Drosophila melanogaster: one gene and its partners. The protein of the gene in region 4 interacts with the protein of the main gene of each other region in a pairwise test. Each region holds a gene or a part of one and is shown on either strand. Other genes may lie near its edges.

Region 1 (3,676 bases), on a different chromosome or scaffold from region 4:
CATCACCTACGGTCATCGACCGATGTACTGCAGCGACGACAAGGAGTACGATTGCAATAGCCAACTGGAGACGTACATTCGCCAGGGTCTGCCCATGCTCAAGTGGTTCGGCCTGGAGGATCTGTTCTACAAGCACGGCGTCGACGTGGAGATCTTTGCGCATGAACACTTCTACACTCGCCTGTGGCCAATCTACGACTACAAGGTGTACAATGGCAGTGCCGAGGCGCCATACACTAATCCCAAGGCGCCCATCCAGATCATCACGGGTTCCGCCGGCTGCAAGGAGGAGCGCGAGCCCTTCTCCAACGATTTGCCCATCTGGAATGCCTACCATAGCAATGTAATTGAATGACCTGCTTAATATCAAAACGGAATACTATAATTCTATAATCTCTTTAGGATTACGGATACACCCGCTTGAAGGCACATAATGGCACGCATCTTCACTTCGAGCAGGTGTCCGATGACCAGAACGGCGCCATTGTCGACTCCTTCTGGGTGATCAAGGACAAGCATGGCGCATATCCATCGCCCCAATGAGATTACATGCATATATAAATATATACTTTCTAGTTAAATGACGATTATGATAATGTATTTTTTTGTAGCATCTTTTAATAAAAATAAAGTTAGAAAAAAATATATCGATGAAAAAAAATAAATTCCACTAGCTTAGATCTTGAACGTTGGACCGTGCGGTGTCTAGTAGACGGTTCCCGAGATTCCGGAACCGTAGTTATAGCCCGATCCGATGGGCGGCACTCCGCCCAAAGCGCCCAAGCCGCCGCCCACCACGCTGTTGCCATAGTTGCTCGTATAGTAACTGGATGGATAGCCACCAGCGCCGAATCGGGTGTTGTAGTACGGATACCCAGTGCCGGCTCCAGCGCCCAGCCTGCTGTTGTAGTATGACAGGGCGTATGGATTCGAGTTGTAGGAGCCACCATAACCACTAAGTCCCGATCCATAGCCACCAAGAGCGGATCCATAGCCACCCAAAGCGGATCCATAGCCGCCCAGAGTGGATCCATAGCCTCCGTATCCGGCCACTGCAGCACCATCTGGGGATTGAGAAACAGCGTTGGTATACTACGAGTCTTCGGCAAGAGATTGAGAGTCTTCTTTCAAGCTCACCCTCACCTAATCCACCCAGAGCTCGCGAGCTGTACGGATTGTAGTAGCTGTCCACGCCAACGCCGACGCCACTGCCGTACGCTCCTCCATAGCCGGCTCCCAGGCCAGAGGCATAGCCGCCGTATCCTGCGCCATATCCGGCGCCATAGCCGCCGTATCCCGCGCCGTAGCCCGCTCCGTAGCCACCGTATCCACCAACATAGCGCTTCTCCTGCTTCTTATCCTGCAGCGGGGCATAGCTGCTGGCGGCGCTCACCTGATCCTCCACGGCCACCGCATCCGGTGCCGATGCGGATGCCACCTGCTCCAGGTCAGAATCCGCCGCGTCCTGGGCATAGGCACTCAGCACCAGACTGGTTGCTATCAGGATAAACTGCGCGAGGATAAAGCGTCACCAAAATGTATCATATTCAAAAGATTACCACTTAAAACATATTTCAATAAAGTGAAAAGTACTTTTTAACAATAGTATTTTGTTTAACAAATTCTCAAAAGCAACATAAAACATATTCAAAAATGTAATAAAAAAAATGTAAAAAATATGTATCAACTTTAAACTAAAATTTAAATACACTTTATAATTTAACAATGAACATCAAGCATTTGGAATACAATGCTTTCAAAACTTATTATTCACTTTAACGAACTGTGTTTTTTAAATCATTTTCTAGTTTTTGGGAAATTATAATCCACGAGAGATCCTTTGGCGAGTCCTTACAAAGCACTTCATGTTGTGGCTGCCGGTTTGTGGTGTTCACTGCTTTCTGGTGGCTAACTGCTCCTTCAAGACTATGATGCGCACGCGCCGTTCGACACTTGTCTAATGATTCCCCACCGGGCCGGCAGTCGCTTTTATACCCGCCGAGCCCACTTCCAATCCCAGCGAACTCGAGCCGCGAAGTTGGACGCAACTGTTGCATCCCAGAGATTCGTGTCGCCTTGCTTGCCACCTATGTATGTATGACGCATGCCACTGGACAACGTGTATGCTGATGGGTCTTGGCTTAATCATCAAACATATTAGATTGAATTTATATCCTGGATTAGATAGTTTCCAGAATCAGATGAGCTCTACTTAACCCATTTATGGAACAACTCTGGATCAACTTAGATTGCTAATATTGTATATTAAATACATATTTATAATCTTAACTCTTTTCTTGAAGAAAACAATACCTTTCGAATGATCTACTTATGAAAAGCTGGTTGGGCGTGTTGATGTGTGATCACACATCATTATGAATATTCCCACGATCTGGGGGATCAATTATACCGCCGCCGCTCAGGAGAAGCAATAACAATGATGACAAATGCTAATTGAATCATTAACTTGACCCTGAAACAGCTAATTGGTCAACATAAAACGCGAAAATGCCCAACGATTGCAGCTTTGAAAACAAAGTTTAAAAAAAAAACGTAACAGCAATCATGCGAGTCCAGTTGAAACGATTTAGTTAGATAGATAAATATTGCGGCTAGTACGTGACTCATTTCATGAACAACAGTATCGAATTGGGTTTTCACTTTCCAGCGCTTATTTAAGCCAACTGAAATTGTTAACAAAACATCGCAGAGAAGAAGAGCCAGGCGGATCTGAATGCTTGAATTTCGCCAACAAAGGTGGCAATTGTTAATTTCTTAGAGGCTTTTTGGCCAAGTGCCTAAGCTAAGTATCCCCATTCCAACCAACATTGCTGACACATTTTCTAAAAAACCTAACGGATTGGAGTCGTAACTTCGATTGGGTTGAATGGACTGAATTAGGTTCTACCAATCTGGGCGATAGTTTTAGCATAAATTCAGGGGTATTCCACATTTAAGTACATTTAATCTATAGAGTTTAGTACAAGAAACTAAAAAGTACTCAGATGTTTCAAATAACTTTAATAATAACTTTAGCAAGTGTTTGAATAATAAAGTAGCATTTAAGAACATAACGATCTATATCCGTTTGCCATTTTCCAAAACTGCAAAACTGTAGCTTGTATCTGTGCAGTTGAAGTTACGTGTGCCAATAGCATTGCGATACTTATCCACGGATATTTACGAAATATGTCAAAATAGTTGTCGATGCCATGCTTGTGGATAGCCACATAGTATATACATACGCTTGTCATACCGCCCATATGAGTGGGTTCACATTGTTCGACCCGGCGGGCATGTGAAAAGTGTTAACTGATTCGACTGACTGTATGGATGGATAGATGGTTGGAGGGATGGATGGATAGATGGAGGGATGGATGGAGGGAGGCAACCGAAGCTACTGCCGACTGCTATGAGTTGACTTGGCCATGGGTGCACTTTGGCGATGGCCTGGGAGTTTCTCGTTTTTTTTTTTCTTTTCTTGTGCTCTTACCCCACTGAGACAATGGTTCTTTAATGCCGAGGCCTAAAAGCCCATTACACGGGCAGCCCGTGAATCTCGCGGTAAGTGGTAGCCTCCATTTCTTGGCCAACCCGCGCACACGGGGCGTATGAGTAATCAAGGAAAAGCAAGCACGGTGCAAAAATCAGATTTAGAACTTTGTCAGTTGAGATA
Region 2 (4,599 bases), on a different chromosome or scaffold from region 4:
GAATTAAAGAAAGCCACGCACTGGAGAGTCTCGTACCGTACAAACTAAAAAGCCCGGGAGACACCTGAAACCAAAGCCGAGAGATACCAATAAACTGCAGTGCCTTCCATTGACACTCGGCTTTTGAATACCCTAAAAACTGATTGGTGTACTTACGTACATTCATATATAAATTGCGTTTCGGTTTATATTGTGTAATCCTATTACACACATAAGCATATGATTGAATGAAAACAAGTAGAACCTTTAATAGGCTACAGTTGGTTCTAAATAAATTGAAGTGGACATTGCATTAAGTAAAATACATATCACAATGTGTTTTGGCGCAACTGTACGTTTAGTTTTCGGGACCAAATAACACCTGTTTTGATCTGACTGTACTTCGCGGGACTCGTTATTAACTGGCAGTTAACTTTTTAGCCCCGTATGATGGCGGCACAATGGAATTTGACTTGGACTCTTGGACCTGGCTAATTAAATTTTTTTTTTTGGTAAATGTTTAGAGTCGGGGCGACCTTTTGGAGCTGCGCCCGTTCGTGAACTCGTGTATTCGTTTGTTCGTGTTCGTGCTCGGTCGTTCCCGGTTTTCTCTGCCTTCTGGAACGGGGCCTGTCTTGAAAGCCGCAGAGCGCGCGAATACCGAAAACTTCTTGCATTCGACGGTGCGAAAGGGACGGGGAGAGTGATGGCATGTGGGAAAGGGAGAGGGCTAGAGCGAGGAGAGGTGGCCATCGAATGCTAAGCAGGGGCCTTTGCTTTTGCTTTTGGTGCTTGCCAAAAATAGAGCCGCCCCGCCACGCCTTCGCCCACAAAGAGCACCCACCCACCCACTCCCGCACAAAAGCAACAACATCATCATCACACCACCAATACCAAAACCAATACCAATACTGTGACCCAGCCAGCTCTCTGTGAACATGTGTCAGTGTGTGTGGGTCTTGTATATAGCATAGCTTAAGCTTTCCTTGTACCGTGGTTCAAATGCCAGGGGAAAATGGCATTATTATATTCTTATAGAGAAATAATATATACAAATAAATTTGTACAACTGTATGTAAAGAGTAAACATGTAACAAGGAAACACTAATTTTAAAGTAAATTTAGCTAGTTTGCATTATTTTTTACACCATTTATATGAGTAAGCCACAAAGAAGCTTGCCTTTTTTGATCTGCTTGATTCCCAGATGGTGTTACTAAAAAATAATGCGAATTTGAGAGAAAGTTTAACAATAAAAAGTTCAAATTCGAGATACATATGTGTAGAGTATTTAAAGAACTTAATTGTGAGGTTAAATATTCAACAAATGGTAAACTTGTAATCCCATAAATTCGTATTATTTTATAAAATTTTACTTTCATACTGAATTGGCTAAGATCCCTTAATTAATTTCCATAAGTTGCTTATGTCTTAACCACTGTGGGTTGTAACTCTGCAGCTACGTTGACGTCGGCGTCGCAGCTTAGAGCTAGTCGATGAGCGGAAGGAGAGAGAGAGAGCAGGCGTTCGTCGAGGAGGGGGCTAGCCGAATAGGGTGAGAGAGAGCGATGGCAGAGTAGGAAAATGCATAAGAAGGGGGGTGGGGGCGCAAAAGGGAGACGGACAGCAGCAACAACAATTCGGCAAAATGTTCGTGGCAGCGTTGCAGCGACGCCGACTGCGCTACGGGTGTTTGTTTTTTTCTCTTTCGTGTTTTCCGTTTTTCTTTTGCGCTCTGCATCCGCTGCCGCAGTAGGCGTCGCTGCCGGCGCGCTGCGCCAGTGTGGGTGAGCGCACGGCTGTAGGTTTGTGTGTGTGCCGTACACATTTTTCAGTTGACTTCGTTGAAATAATTTTCGTAACAACGATCACACTCGTTTGTGTATTGCGAAGACGGGCGGACGTGCGTCGGCGTCGAATGCGGAACAAGCGCTAAAGCAAACTAGCGAAAAAGTGCGAATATCAAAAGAAAAGAGAACCAAACAAATTGTTTTTTTTTTTCACCACGAGCGTCGTCGCAAAAACAACAAAAAGGAATTTAATAAACCAAAAGCAAACGAGGAGAGAGAAAGCAGCAACTAAATATAACAACAAATGCATTAAATAGTTTTGTTTTTTTTTTTGCCACACTGCCAAAATGCAGTTAGCGTTTGTTTGTGTAAGTGTACCACATGCATACATAATGTATAATTTATATGCCAAAAACAACAACAGCAATAGCATTGTGTGCAAAATGTTGAAATGAGCTCGAAAAACAACAAAAATAAGTGCGCGCATTAACACACGCACACTTGCAAAGGAAAACATCTAAAAAAATTATCACGTGTGTGTGTGTGTGTGTGTGTGTGTGAGACAGCCGGTCAGTGTGACCGTTTGTGTGCCAGAAAGAGAAGGATCGAACAAGCCGGCTGTTTATTTCTTTTATAGTTCTGTTTAAATAACAAATACACTTGCCAAAAGAATTTCATTTTGATGTGTGAATAATTAAAAAAATCAGTAAGACATAATGCAGTCTTTGTTAAATATATATTGACATATATGAGCATATATATAAATACATACACAAATAACATATCAAATTGAAATGCTGGCAGTACCAATCGAACTGTCATCCTAACAAGTAAATTTTTCAATACAGCTCCTAATATAAAACCAAACCAAAAGTGTGGATATCGAAAAGTCTGGAAAAGTACGATAACGCAAGATTACATAGAGCGCGAGCAAGACAGCATTCTAGAGCAAAAGAGCGAGAGTGTGCGGAGGAGCGATGGCCAGCGAGGATGTGCAGATCACTAGCGTCATCGATGCCAATGGCCAGAGCCTACCGCTCCACGGCAACAGTTTGGGCGGTCCCCTGGGACCGCCCGTCAAGCAGGAGCGTCCCGATGACGCCGAGATCCGCGAACTAGCTGCCAAAATGAAGGAGCAGCAGAAGCAACAGGCCGCCCAGCAGGCATCCCGTCAAGCGGCCATGCAGCACTCGAATGGGGGCGCCATTGCGGCATCCTCGGCCGGTGGCAACATGCAGCCGCCGATCACAAATGGCAATGGCCAGACCAATATCATGAACTACCTATCTCGTCATCAGAAACTACCCAACGGCACCATGCAGGTGGTGCCCGCCTTGGCCTCCAATGGCCGCTCGAATGGAGCCGTCAGCGACTCCGGCTCGGACAAGAAGTCCTCCACGGGACCCTGCGACGAGGAGTCCATTCAAGGCCACTTCGGCTGGGCTCAGTTCGGCAAGGTATCCATACCGTACATCTATCGCCAATCGGAGAAGTACTGCTCCGTGCGCATGATCGAACTGAAACTGCTGGGCAAATACCTTAACTGCCTGCATCCGGATATCTACTCCAGCTGCACCTGCGTGCGCAGCTACTACATCACCGATGCGGAGGCCCGTCTCTTCATCGAGATTAATCATAAGCATTGTGACGGCGAGTTCGGTCGCGACATCTTCAACCAAAAGGATTTGGTGGTGCGTCTCAGTGACGCATCCAAGTTCTATCAGTTCCTGGATATTTGCTATAGGAAACTAGTCTCCGGCAGCAAGACGCCGTCGGAGAAGTGCGGCTTTATTCGCATCAACAAGGAGTCCGTGGTGCCCTACACTGTGCGCAACAATCAGCAGGTTGTGCCGCTCTTTTATTTTGAGGGCGAGACCGAGAATCTAAAGACCAAAGCGGAGCTGCTCAATGGCTGGGACCTGGCTTATCTAAAGTTCTGCTGCAAGGTGCAGGGCATACGCAATGAGCTCTTCTCCAGCGAGAACGTGGCCGTGATTTCGCTGACGGACATCAAAAGCTACTTCCCAAATGGCACCGAATTCGAGGACTACTGGCCCAGCAAGGTGGTTGACTCCAATCTGCTCATTGGCAATCGGGCCAATGTCAACAACTCGGTCAATTGGACCCGTCAACCCTCGGCGCCGCCTCCAAAAGTGACCACCTCCGTTTCCGGATCGTCCGGCCCTTCCTCCTCCAGCGGCGGCAACATGGGCCAGAACACATCAGCCGCATCATCCTCCGCGAACACCGCTGGTGGCCAACAGGTGACCTCAAAATCTCAGCAACAGCACGCTGCCTCTGCCGCCGCAGCAGCGGCGACGGCGCATCAACAGCATCTGATGAAGCAACGCGCCGCCGCAGCAGCAGCTGCCGCCGGCGCCAATGGTGTGGCGAATGCGGCAAATAGTTTTGGGGCAGCCGCGGTAGCGGCCTTCAATTCCCAGGCGGCGGCAGCGGCGTCGATGCTCCAGCAGTCGCAGGGCAACAACAGGATGTTATCGCAGGCCACCGTCCAGGCTTTGGCCAGCAGCGGATGGATGTCCGGACAGACAAACCTGCAGCTCCACGCCCAGATGATGGTGAGTTGAGCACTAGGCTAGCTAACGTTTTCCTCCAATTAATGCACAATGTTTATCAAACTTTGGGATATCAAAGCTATTAGCAAAGTTTGAGAAGTAATGCCCAATCGTAATCTGGAATATAATATCAACGTTGCTATGGTATCATTTATTATACCCCAGCTACTGAACAATATTATAGATACAAGATTCTTTACACTCAACCGAATTATCGTTTTTCAAGCCTTATCTAGAAATTCGAGCCTACTTTAGA
Region 3 (5,127 bases), on a different chromosome or scaffold from region 4:
ACGGCCAAGGATCCCATTGAACTTGCCCTGGAGCAAAACAAGTTGCAACCGGAGGGATCCCTTCCAGCCCTGCCGGTTCCCGCTTCCCCCGTCCACGAGCAGTACAAGATGATCCATGACAACCTGGCGATGGAGTTCCGCGATCACGACGGTCACTCGGAGCGACCTGGCGGGGCGGTCCTCTCGCTGACTCTGGGCCTGCTGGTCACCGCTGCGCTGGCCATTCTTATCGGGTGCAGGATGCGGACGGTGACGCGGAGGGCACGACGACTGGGCGGCAAGACGCCCTACTCACAGGAGGCGGACTTCCTGGTCAACGGCATGTATCTGTAAGCCGGTTGCCTGCGGATTAGGTCGGGGGCTAGCCAAGATTCGTTGTGTTGTTCCACGTGCGGGGAAGCGTGAGGATATATATATTTACGATTAATTGTGTAATGAAAAACGTATTTTATATAAACAAAGATATATCAAATAAAACTAAAACTTAAACATAGCGATCGCCTTACCTGTGGACCGATTAATGAGTCGAAAAGTAATTTTATAATATTTTTTATTTAAGTTCCTTTCCATTTGCGATTTCAGTTTTGTTTTGGTTACGAAAAAAACTTACAATTACTTTGTTACGAAATCTTGTTCTCAGTTTTTTTTTCAATGAAGTGACGACGATGACTGGTTTAGTCATTAAAACTACAAAATAGTAGGAAGTTGGTTTTTATTTATATTCTTTTTTTCTTTTCTTTTCCTTTATATATCAGCACTATACTCGTAATTGCCTTTCTTTAAAATAACAAATTTCGCTGTGGTGGAGCCTTTTTAATGTTCAAGTCTAAAATCATTATTAGTGAAAGGTAGTATTTGACCAAAAAAACAAATTTCGAACGCTTAAAAATATCACATTAAAAAATCAAACCGAATCCGATTTCATATATAAATAACACAAATTTATTTAATTTTGTTTTGGAATTTGGAATAGGTTGTCTTAAGTTTTGTATACATAGATTTATTTCGTTTTTCGTTTACCACTTCATTTTTAGTCTTTTGTTGTTGAGAATTTTCCTTGCTGTGGCCAGTTTTTTTTTTTTTTTTTGAATGAAAATCATCTTTTACGAAGTTTACTGCCCTGACATTGGTTGCATTAATATTACGCATTACGCATTAAAATAGGCTTTTCTCTTTACTCGTTTAGCTCCATTTTCACTTAACACTGTACACATATAATGTAAACTAATTGTATTTATATTTATTATGCAGTTGAATAGTTTATAGTTTAATATGTCAATGTGCAATTCATGATGCAGTTTTTCATCGAATGTGACTCGTTACAATGTTTTCGGTTGCTAAGCGAATTAAAAACAAAACTAGTTTCCGAAAAATACAACTCAAGAAATCTCCAAATGTTTTTTTTTTTTTACAACTTCTGTATTAACGTGATATAAATATAGACTGAATTTAGATTGGATTGGATCGACTGGCTGTTGGCGGTTGCTTTTCGTGTTACGGTAGTTGTTACTGTTAATTTAGTAGTTATCGTACTTTAATATATATTTATAAAATAGACTTTCTCCGTTGCAAGATGCGAATTTTCGTTTCTGTTGTTGCAGTTTTCGGTTTGTGGTACATGCACGTTGCCAAAACTTACGCATCATGTTGCGTACCTAAAAGACAAGCACACAGATTACTAAGTTTGTTTACTCGCTTTTCCAGCGACAACTCACCTTTTTGTCCAGAGACGCGCAATTCGATCGTGCTCCTCACGATTCTGCAAATATTGCGTGGCAATGCTGCCCACCAGCGGATCGGCTGTAAAGACACATGATATAAACATGAGATCATATTTACTACAGTCCTAGGAAAAGTTAAATCAAAGTGGAGAACACGACACTGTATATCAAAGTCTAAAAAAAATAAGTCTCACCTGGATTACAGTCTGTGAGCAGGGAGCAAATTGACAGCAAGACCTTTGATATGGTCAGCGCCGGCGACCAGTTGTCCTTGAGTATGTCCAGGCAAATGACGCCCTGGCTGTTGATGTTGCAGTGATAGATGCGCGTGCGGAACGTGACTTTGGGTGGCTTGAAGGGATACTCCGGCGAGAAGTGTATGTCGAGGAAGAAGACGCCGCCCTCGTAGACGGATCCGGGTGGTCCCAGTATGGTGGATACCCACTCGTACAGGTTGTCGCCCTTGGGCCCGGCACTGCAGTTGGGCGGTGGGTCCAGTGTGATCTCAGCCAGCTCCTTCTGTATGCGCTTGGCCGAGGTGCCCAGCGCCCTGGATATCCTGGGCGTTGTTTTGGCTTCCTTTCGCGGCTCATCTCCGCCACCGGCATTGCTCCCGGAGGCACCACCGTTGGCGTTGCTGCCCCTGCCGCCACGTGCCTGCGGAGTTCCGGCAGTCGTCGGCTGGCTGGTATTGCTCACGTTGCTGGCCGTTGTGCTGGGTGCACTGGGCGCATTTGAGGTGGCACTGGAGGTGGCCACCTCGGCGGCACTGCCCGCTGCTGGGGTTGAAGACATTTTTGGTCTCGTTTCTTCGAACTGAAATGAGTATTTTGATGTTTGGTTAGATAATGGTTTATGTAAACGATCCACTATGTTCAGCAGGGAATTTCCATAGAAAACTGGTGAAATATGAAGCCAAAGCCTACTTGGGATTCACATTTATTTTTAAAGGGAAATCCCTTCTTGCCTGCACTTTGTGCGTACGAATGTAGTTGATGTGAAAAGTATGGCCAGTGGAGTCGGCAATTATACGCGAATCTTGGACGGGGCTTCCCCAGGGTCCTTGACCTGGTTTTCCACCCAGTTTGTGCCCCTTTATGATGACAGGGGTTTGCTTTTTTTCGCACAAACGCACGCATTTCTATTGAGCAGCGGCCATTTTGGCAAACCCCCGACAGTAAAAAGTGGGTTTTGCATGGGATTCGTTGTCAGGCCAGTGGATGCTGGACAGGATTAGGTGATAGCTGGACAAGCATTTGCCCCCAAAGTTTCGAGAGCATGTGCTGGATGCCGCAAAAAATCAATCAGCAGACATTTGCAAAATGCCGCCGCCGACGGCGGAGGATGATGATGACGGTGCTGACTCCGCCGCCTGCAGCTCGATTGCACAATTTCGCGGAATTTGGACGCTGATTAGGTGGGGTCTATCTTGGGACCAGCCCGTGAAGCACTATACACACCTCACTATTGCAGTTTCTTTCACTTTTTTCTATCACAACACTTGCGAAAATGATTCTCCCTGTGTCGCCTGCTGCCCTCTCGCTCGCACTCTCGCGCACACGGCCTTCGCAGTGGATGCACGGCTGTTCCGCTGGCGTCCTTGGTGGGTGGCAGTGTCGGCGCTCCAAACTCCTCGGCGGCTCACGGTCGCGATCGTTGTTATTTCGCTAAATTACAGTTGGCAAATTACGAGGCGACGCAGAGCCGACTTTATCTTTGTTAGAAACTCGATAATTTGTATGTTTGTAGCCAGCTATCGGTCCGGGTCCGTCTCTAGGTGCTCGCGCTGTCCGCTCATCCTTAGCGAACTATCGATGTTCGGCTTCTGGCAACCGTTTTTTGCCTTTTCTAGCACTGTGGCAACTCGGAAGCGGATACCATAAAAATAATATTCAAGTATTGAAATCTAACTATTTCGTAAATGAAATAAAAAACAAGAATATTTACACCATGTATAATACACTTTGAATACCTCTCTGCTTCACCCACTTCGATAATTTAAGTGTAACACCCCAGATGTAAAATCTTTCAATATTTACTTTAAAGTTTAAACTAGTTTTGTATTTATAAAAAGTTTACAAGTTTTGGGATTACTTCGTCTCCGCTTCTTCCGCTAGCGCCTTGCGAGATTTGAATACGCGCACCGTGTTGTCGACACCACCAGATACAATGTACTTGGGATTGGACCAGTCGATGTCCAGGACCTTTTCACCGTGACCCAGAAGATCGTACAGTGGGGCCTTGGGACTCCTGCAGTCCCACAGCTTGTTCTGGTTGTCATAAGCGCCGGAGACAAATAGGAACTCCTCCGTGGTGGACCACATGACGGTCTGCACCCAGGCATTGTGTCCCAGATAGGTATTCCTTACCACTGATCCCTCTGAAAGATCCGAATTATATTGGTTAGGTGGAAGTTCCATTGTTGATATTGGAGTATTAGATCTTACGGTTTGTCCTAGGATCATAGAGCCGCAGATTCTTGTCCGCCGAAGCAGTCAGTATCAGCCGATTCAGCTTTGAGTAGCTCGCATCGAATATGGACTTGTTGGTGGATATTTCGGTCTTGATGCCCTCAAGACTCAGATCCCACACCTTGAGTGTGTGATCCCAGCTGCCAGTTAGCAGAGTGGTAGCATCCATCCACTGCACGGCTGATACGCTCTCACGATGTCCCTGCAGCGTAATTTTGGGGGTCTGAAAGGAATTGTAAAGCTGATTACAAGTCTAATTATAAATGGCAAGACTACTCACTCTCACACCGCTCTCTTTCATCCGCTTTGAGCTGCCCTCGACTGCATCGTCCAGCTCTGCTGACCACACCTTCAACATCGTGTCCCAAGAGCCCGTGGCAAATCTCAGACCATCCGGACTCACGCTGACACTGTCGACGCCTCGCTCGTGGCCCTTGCACACGGAGACACATTCCACCGAGTTGGAGCCCACGTTCCACTGCCACAGCATGGCGGTCTGATCCTGCGATGTGGACACAAAACGTCCCGTCTCCTCGTCCAGCGATATCCAGTCCACCGCCTTGATGGGCGCCGTGTGACCAGAAATAGTGAGAATGTGCTTGCCTTTGTTGGTCCACAAATTCAGGGTGTTGTCGTAGCACCCGGAGAGGATCCACTTTCCTCTAGCCTTCACCGCGGACACCCAGTCGTCGTGCAGCAGGCAATCCTGTGGCTCTGGCGCCGGGAACCGCTCCACATACTCGATCTCGATGGCGTCCTCGAAACTGATGGCTTTCTCGCGCAGGTGATCGCACAGCCGGCCACGCAGGTACTCATCGAACACCAGGAAGTCGAAGTCCGTGTCGGAAGAGCCATCTTTTTGACGCAACAGTGCGTTCACGAATGTGTTTAGCTCCACGGTGGTGACGGTGCCATCGATGGCATAGGGCACATCA
Region 4 (6,160 bases):
TCAAGTTTTTCTGACGGTGTATTTCCAGAGTGCGCATTATGACGCATTCGCTCATATTTACTCTTACCTGTTTCGCCTTTCTCTTTCTTCTCTTTCATCTTGTGCGCCGAGTTGACGTCGAAAAACCAGAATCGTTTAAGAAATCTTGTGTTGGCCAATAACGGATAGTTGTGGGAAATGCCAGATTTGTCTAATCGTTAAAACCCGTGTGGGTTCAAGGAGGTTTTCAAGCATATGGGGTTCTTTGCTAAGCTGGGAATACAGCGTTTTTAATTCCGCACATTAAGCCAAGTTTACTATTCTACGTGATACAATATTATTTTGACCTTAAACTCTCGTGCCCGCAAATCGTTTACTTACCATCTTCTAATTGTAATTTCTATGTTAAGGCGGAAGAACTTTGTTCTTTACGATTTTGTTCAAGCGTTTATGGAAATGTTAAAGAGTCTTTGTTTGTCATAGTATAATTACTAACTTATTTTACACGTGGTAGAACCGACGTAATAAGAAACCCAAACCATAACAAATGATTAAATCCAAAGGCGTCATTAAATAAATAAAACATTTATTACACAACGAACTTTAAAAGTGTGTCAATATAATTAGTGCATAAGTATCTTAACTAGTAAATAAACATGTCGGTTAAATATAATGTGTGTAGAGGTAGTTTCACATTTTGCATTTGGCTTAGATGCATTTAATATTGAGTGCGTATATAAATATAGGTAATTAATAATTAAAATGTAGTTTTTCACAATATACAAAGATATGCCTGGAATAATTTATAGGAACAAAAAATTTGTTTATGGGTTTTCATGGCCTAGCTGCTCTCGGATTTTCCAGATTAAATATGTCTTCAGTAAACCAGGCGGATGGCCTGCTGTCCGTGGTAAATATCGCTCCTAACAAGAACTTCATAGTTGCTCAGACGGATCTCTTGGCCACCGAATGGGATCTGGAGGCATCGGTTGTAGGTCTCAATTACACCGGGTGTCAAGCTGCCGCAGTAGTGACCCCGTCCAATGTAGAGTGGTGCTCCGCCAGGTGTCGTTCCGGCCACAACTGCTCCAGGTGGAACGTTTCCGCCGTAGGATGGCACCCAGTGGTATTTGCCCTTGCCCACCAGCATTTGGTACGATGGCTCAATGATTTCACGACCCCCGTGGGCTATGTAGCCACATCCCTGGCTGGGAATGGCCTTGCCAGGAACATGGACACCACGGTAGTAGGCCCGGCAAACCAGCAATTGCTCCATGTTGCTGTCATGACCTCCAATCACGGCATCGGGAGAGTAATAATAGCCCGGTTCGGCTGATACCCAAACGTCATAGTTGTTGCCATAGCCGTAGGCGTCATATGCCGAAGGAGCAGCACACTCGGCCGGAGTGTAGGACGAGCATCCCGCCTCGTAGGGATTATAGGTGGAAGCGGGTGTAAACGATGGTGCCACGGGAACGGATACTGCGGTCACCTCTGCGGGAACAAATGATGGCGGTGGCGCCACCTCAGCTGGAGTGAACGATGGAGGAGGAGGTGGCATGACCAACACACCACCTGCAGGCGGTGGTGGTGGTGGTGGTCGTGGCATGACCAGCACTCCTCCCGCCGGCGGTGGTGGGGTTGGACTCGGCATCACCATCACACCTCCAACGGGTGGCATGGGATCCGGAGTGGGTGTGTAGGCCGGAGGCCTGTCAGGAAATGGCATCGCAGCCAAATCCGGATATGGATATGGTTTGGCCGGCAGTGGCGGCGCCATTGCCGGTGGAGAAGGTGGTGGCGGCGGCGATAGTGGACACTTTTCCGGCTCCTCTAGTGGAGGAGGTGGTGGCGGCAGCTGCCAGCCAGGAACCACTCTGCGCTCCTCCACCAAAATCTCATAGGAATCCAGACGACGTTCGGCACCGCGAAAAGCGATGAACAAAGCTCGATGGACAGAGGAGATTTTGCCGATAATCAGATGACCCTCATAATGACCACGACCAATGTAAACCGGCTGATCCAGCGATGTGCGTCCACAGAGTACAGCATTCTCCGGAATCACATGATCGTAGCACTTGATCCACACCAGATTCTGACCGCACAGCACCTCGAAGATGTCCTTGGGCAGTGCCTCTCCTCGCTGCGAAATGAATCCCAGTTGCTTGCTCGGCACCACCTTGCAGACCAACATATCGCCCTCGTGCTCCGCCCTGCCCACGTATATCATGGCGCCGTCCTCATCGTTGCCGCCCACCACTGCCTCCTCGGGAAGGGAGGAGTAGGCCGAGGATTGAACCCACTTGTAGGCTGAAAGAAAGATGCATTTTGTTATTTGCTTATTCAGAAGTGATTAGTTTATCATAAAGGACTAACCAATAATATGCTATTTCATCTATAGACATGCAAAAAAATGATGTAGTAATTTTAAATTTCTTTAAAAGTAAATAATGTGGAAGAAAGGTAGAATATAAGGAAATGACCTTCATAGCAAGCCACTATCGTAGCTCATAAATTTTGTAAAACCTGTCTAATCCGACAGTCCATTTTGGCCATATCAGTATAATACATTTGCAGGGATAAGTATTTTAAAAATAGAAGGAACACAAAATGCCCACAGATTTCTTCCGGTATTAACAATCAGTTTATTTGGCTGCGATAACAGTTTGATCTAGACTAAATGCATATGGTATCTGTAGTGTTCCGTTCCTTTAGCTTATTGTCTGCAGAGAATCTCGTACGAGTTGATGCGAATCTCCCGACCTCCGTACGGAATATAGAGGCAACGCTGGCTGGCCGAGATCAGACCCGGTGTCAAACTGCCCTGGTAGTGTCCTCGCCCATAGTACAGCAGCTCTCCATTGCGAGCACGACCCGTGGTTACGGCGTTTGGTGGAATGCTGTGGCCGCAATTCATCCATACATATCCGTAGCCAGTGAGCACCTCGTAGCTGGGCTTCTGGAATTCGTATCCGCCGAAGCAAACGTAGGCGGTTCCCTTGCTCGGCACCACCTTGGCAGGCAGCATTTCACCCTCGTGCATTGCCCTTCCGGCGTAAATGGGAGTACGGTCGGAGTCGTGTCCGGCGATCACTGCGCCCGGAGGAGTGTAACTGGGCGAGGCCGGTACCCAGACGTCGTGCTGCTGCTTGATGAGCACCTCGTAGGTGTTGATGCGCACCTCCTGGCCGCCAAATGGAATGTATAGGCAGCCGTGCGATGGATGAACTTTGCCCACAGTCAAGCTTCCGGCATGATGTCCGCGTCCCACATAGAGCGGCTCGCCCGTTCGCGTCGTTCCGCTCCTCACCGCATTCGGTGGCACTCCACCGCTGGAACTGGGCACCCAGGCAAATCCCTGACCCACCAGCACCTCGTAGTGCGTCTTCGTGTGCTCCGCACCACCGTAGGCCACATAGGCGCATCCCTTGCTCGGTACGACCTTGGCGGGAAGATTCTCGCCTTCGTGAAAGGATCGACCCACATAGATGGGCGTGCGGTCCGAGTCATGGCCACCGATAACCGCGTATGGGGGCAGGGGGCTGTATGGAGACGAGTGCACCCAGGTGTTGTCTGCAAGGAGAAAGGCAGTAGGGCGATAAGTTTGATACCACGCGATAAGATAACCTATCTGTACACAGAGCGAAAACCGGAGAGTAAGTTTCGTGTCCTTTCCATTGGAAATATCTTAAAACTCTACTTGATTGATTTAAATCACTGTTATATTAATATTGTCTTGATAGATATTATATATTGTTATTAAAAAAAAAAAGATTAAGATTTACTAACTTCGTACTTTTTCAAAAGGTAAACATTTATCATCCCGAAGCTGCATTATTAAATGGATACGGTTTTGATTAAAAATTAAGTACAATGTACAATATAATGATTCACTCTATACTCATACTCTCATAGCTTTTTCTCCGTGTACATATTTGGCTTGCTGTACGGTTTTGCGGGTTTGGGTGGTTTTGGGTGGCCTAGGTGGTCTGGGGGCGGGGATCAAATGGGATTTGGGGTTTCACAGAGGCGTAGGGGTTTCACCCTGGGCTCACTGCACTCGTCCTACCAACGGTCACAACTCCTCCTGGCTGCACGGCGCCTGGAAAGAGCAAAGAAAGGCGGAGAACTGTAGAAGTCACTCAATGCTCTTTGCTTTTCTTCCGGCTAATGTGCACAGAGAAAAAAATCGCAATACCAACAGAATTGGTCAGCACTTGCGGATTTCTTCGCCCGTAATTGGGAAATTGAATTTAATTAAGCTAATATGCAACAATATATTTTTTGATTTTGATGATCTTGAAGGTAAATTACACTTATTTCATTAGACTTTGGCATTGCAAAATCATTTTTTTTTTTTTGGTTGCACTTATCAGAGGTTACTCATTCTACTTACCCATTGTGCGTTAATTGTTGATAAGTTATTCCTATGAAAAATAGTTTCTTTTATTCACTTGCGTTCTTCTGACTCCAAAATGCGTCTGAACTGACCAAAGTTTGTCTTTTCACTAAACTATTGGTTTGCAAAAGCCTGACGTTTAAAAACCGAACCAGAGCGATTCGTCACTGCTTCTTATCGGCGAGCTTTTATCTTTCAATTCGCATTTGTACATATATAAAAAAAGAAGTGCAGTTGATATTGGGACCTTTGCTATCACTAATTTTAACTTCCAGTCTCGAAAGCTCCATTTCCAGAAAAGCATTCCATTTATCGATCGAAAATGAATCATTGGCCCAAACAGGCGGTACTTTTGGGAGTAAAAGAAAAAAACAAGTAAATCGAAGCATGTGGACATTGTTTTAAATGTTATTGTTGTGCCCTCTCAACAGGTGGAACCCCAATTAAATAGACCCATAAACAATATGACGCCTGCCAGAAGCGCCCATGCTCAAAAAATCCCCCCCGTTGAAGGGGCGATAAGCATGTCGAAAATTTGTACTTTTAATAGAAAAAGGATCATTCATTTTGAATTATTTTTTACCTACTGAAATATTAAAAATAATCTTTAAACCTTTAGTGTAATGTATGTGCTTATTTTATCTCTTTTAATTAATAATTTCTTTGTAATAACAAACAAACTGATTTCAAAGGACATATGTATGTATGCATTTATGTAAGGCATAAAAGGCATTAAAAAGTATAAATATACATATGTGACTCAGCGGTAACGATATCAATAACTTTATATCGCAATTGACTCATCTTTAGACCAAACAAGTGTCTGTAACTTTACAACAGTTACAGTTAGTTTTCCAAAGGTTTCTCAATTATTAGGTTTATGATTTGAATAATCCACAAGAAGGTTAGGTAACTGTTTACATGTTGGTTCTTATTTTTGTTCTAGAAAAGCATTCCTGAACTTATAGTTGATCCATGGACAGCCACCCTCATACATATAATCTTTTACGAACTTATTGATGAAGTTTATTTTTGACTACCGGCGATAAGATTCGTAGCCAACTGCTTATAGATAAAACCCGCAAAAACAAAAACAAATATTCATGCACAAGATCGATTGAGTAATTTTGGTTGCGCTTCCTGTTTAACCCAGAATTTAAATTGTTTTTACCAAACAAAATCATCCAATATACATTCTGACACACCTGTCAGTTGGTCGCAATGACGAACACCCTCTACGACATGAGGATACCTTTGTGGAACACACACAATCGAACGGTTCAGAGCAGTGTGACTAAGATATCTTATCACTGCCGGCTAACTTGCCGAACTGATAAGCGGAAACAACAGCTTTTAAGGCGCAACCGATGTGCGGGTAGCGACCAGTCGTTGAAGTCAGCCCAAACATAGCGGAGCCAGCGAGTATATAACATCACGTTCCAGACCTAAATCAACATACAAAAAAAGCACACAAATACAACATGGGAGGTGAGAACTGAAGTGCAAAGTTAGTGACTAAGATAATTCTGGCGAAAACGAAAGCATAGTGCCGCAATTAGTCGTGACAAGTGGGCAAGTGTCATCGATACTCCGCGCACCTGACAGCCGAAATCCCTTGGAGCTTTGGTAGCTTTCCATAGATCCAGCGATTCTACACCCTGACAAATAAAAGACAAAAAACCTCTACTGTGGCTGATTAATGGTGTACAGTTGGCCCTCGTTGGCCCAAGTTAACTTATCGCCTCTGACCTTGCTCTATATATATATTTTATTCGCCCTCAG

What was found.
Region 1: the proteins of CG44251 (region 4) and CG2157 interact in a two-hybrid assay, tested with the Drosophila melanogaster proteins (one large-scale study listed by BioGRID).
Region 2: the proteins of CG44251 (region 4) and CG43736 interact in a two-hybrid assay, tested with the Drosophila melanogaster proteins (one large-scale study listed by BioGRID).
Region 3: the proteins of CG44251 (region 4) and Ubc2 interact in a two-hybrid assay, tested with the Drosophila melanogaster proteins (one large-scale study listed by BioGRID).

What each region holds. Positions count from the first base shown.
Region 1 is NC_004354.4:10,867,571-10,871,246, reverse strand, and holds CG2157 (uncharacterized protein), read right to left. Parts: upstream 1,964-3,676; 5' UTR 1,868-1,963; coding exon 1,856-1,867; intron 1,511-1,855; coding exon 1,138-1,510; intron 1,065-1,137; coding exon 706-1,064; 3' UTR 544-705; downstream 1-543.
Region 2 is NC_004354.4:6,866,646-6,871,244, forward strand, and holds the start of CG43736 (uncharacterized protein), read left to right. Parts: upstream 1-1,581; 5' UTR 1,582-2,135; intron 2,136-2,615; 5' UTR 2,616-2,744; coding exon 2,745-4,346; intron 4,347-4,599.
Region 3 is NT_033779.5:10,764,476-10,769,602, forward strand, and holds Ubc2 (ubiquitin conjugating enzyme 2), read right to left. Parts: upstream 3,465-5,127; 5' UTR 3,182-3,464; intron 2,612-3,181; exon of another isoform or gene 2,538-2,611; 5' UTR 2,517-2,537; coding exon 1,916-2,516; intron 1,801-1,915; coding exon 1,716-1,800; intron 1,656-1,715; coding exon 1,643-1,655; 3' UTR 535-1,642; downstream 1-534. Other genes in the region: CG6495 (uncharacterized protein), read left to right, coding at 1-333; CG6724 (uncharacterized protein), read right to left, coding at 3,812-4,101, 4,169-4,415, 4,473-5,127. UniProt on the Drosophila melanogaster protein: Catalyzes the covalent attachment of ubiquitin to other proteins.
Region 4 is NT_033778.4:12,947,798-12,953,957, forward strand, and holds CG44251 (uncharacterized protein), read right to left. Parts: upstream 4,497-6,160; 5' UTR 4,380-4,496; coding exon 4,376-4,379; intron 4,082-4,375; coding exon of another isoform or gene 4,049-4,081; intron 3,553-4,048; coding exon of another isoform or gene 2,696-3,552; exon of another isoform or gene 2,607-2,695; intron 2,413-2,606; exon of another isoform or gene 2,356-2,412; intron 2,290-2,355; coding exon 857-2,289; 3' UTR 551-856; downstream 1-550. Other genes in the region: CG44250 (uncharacterized protein), read right to left, coding at 2,696-3,552, 4,049-4,081, 4,376-4,379; CG13321 (uncharacterized protein), read left to right, coding at 5,860-5,866.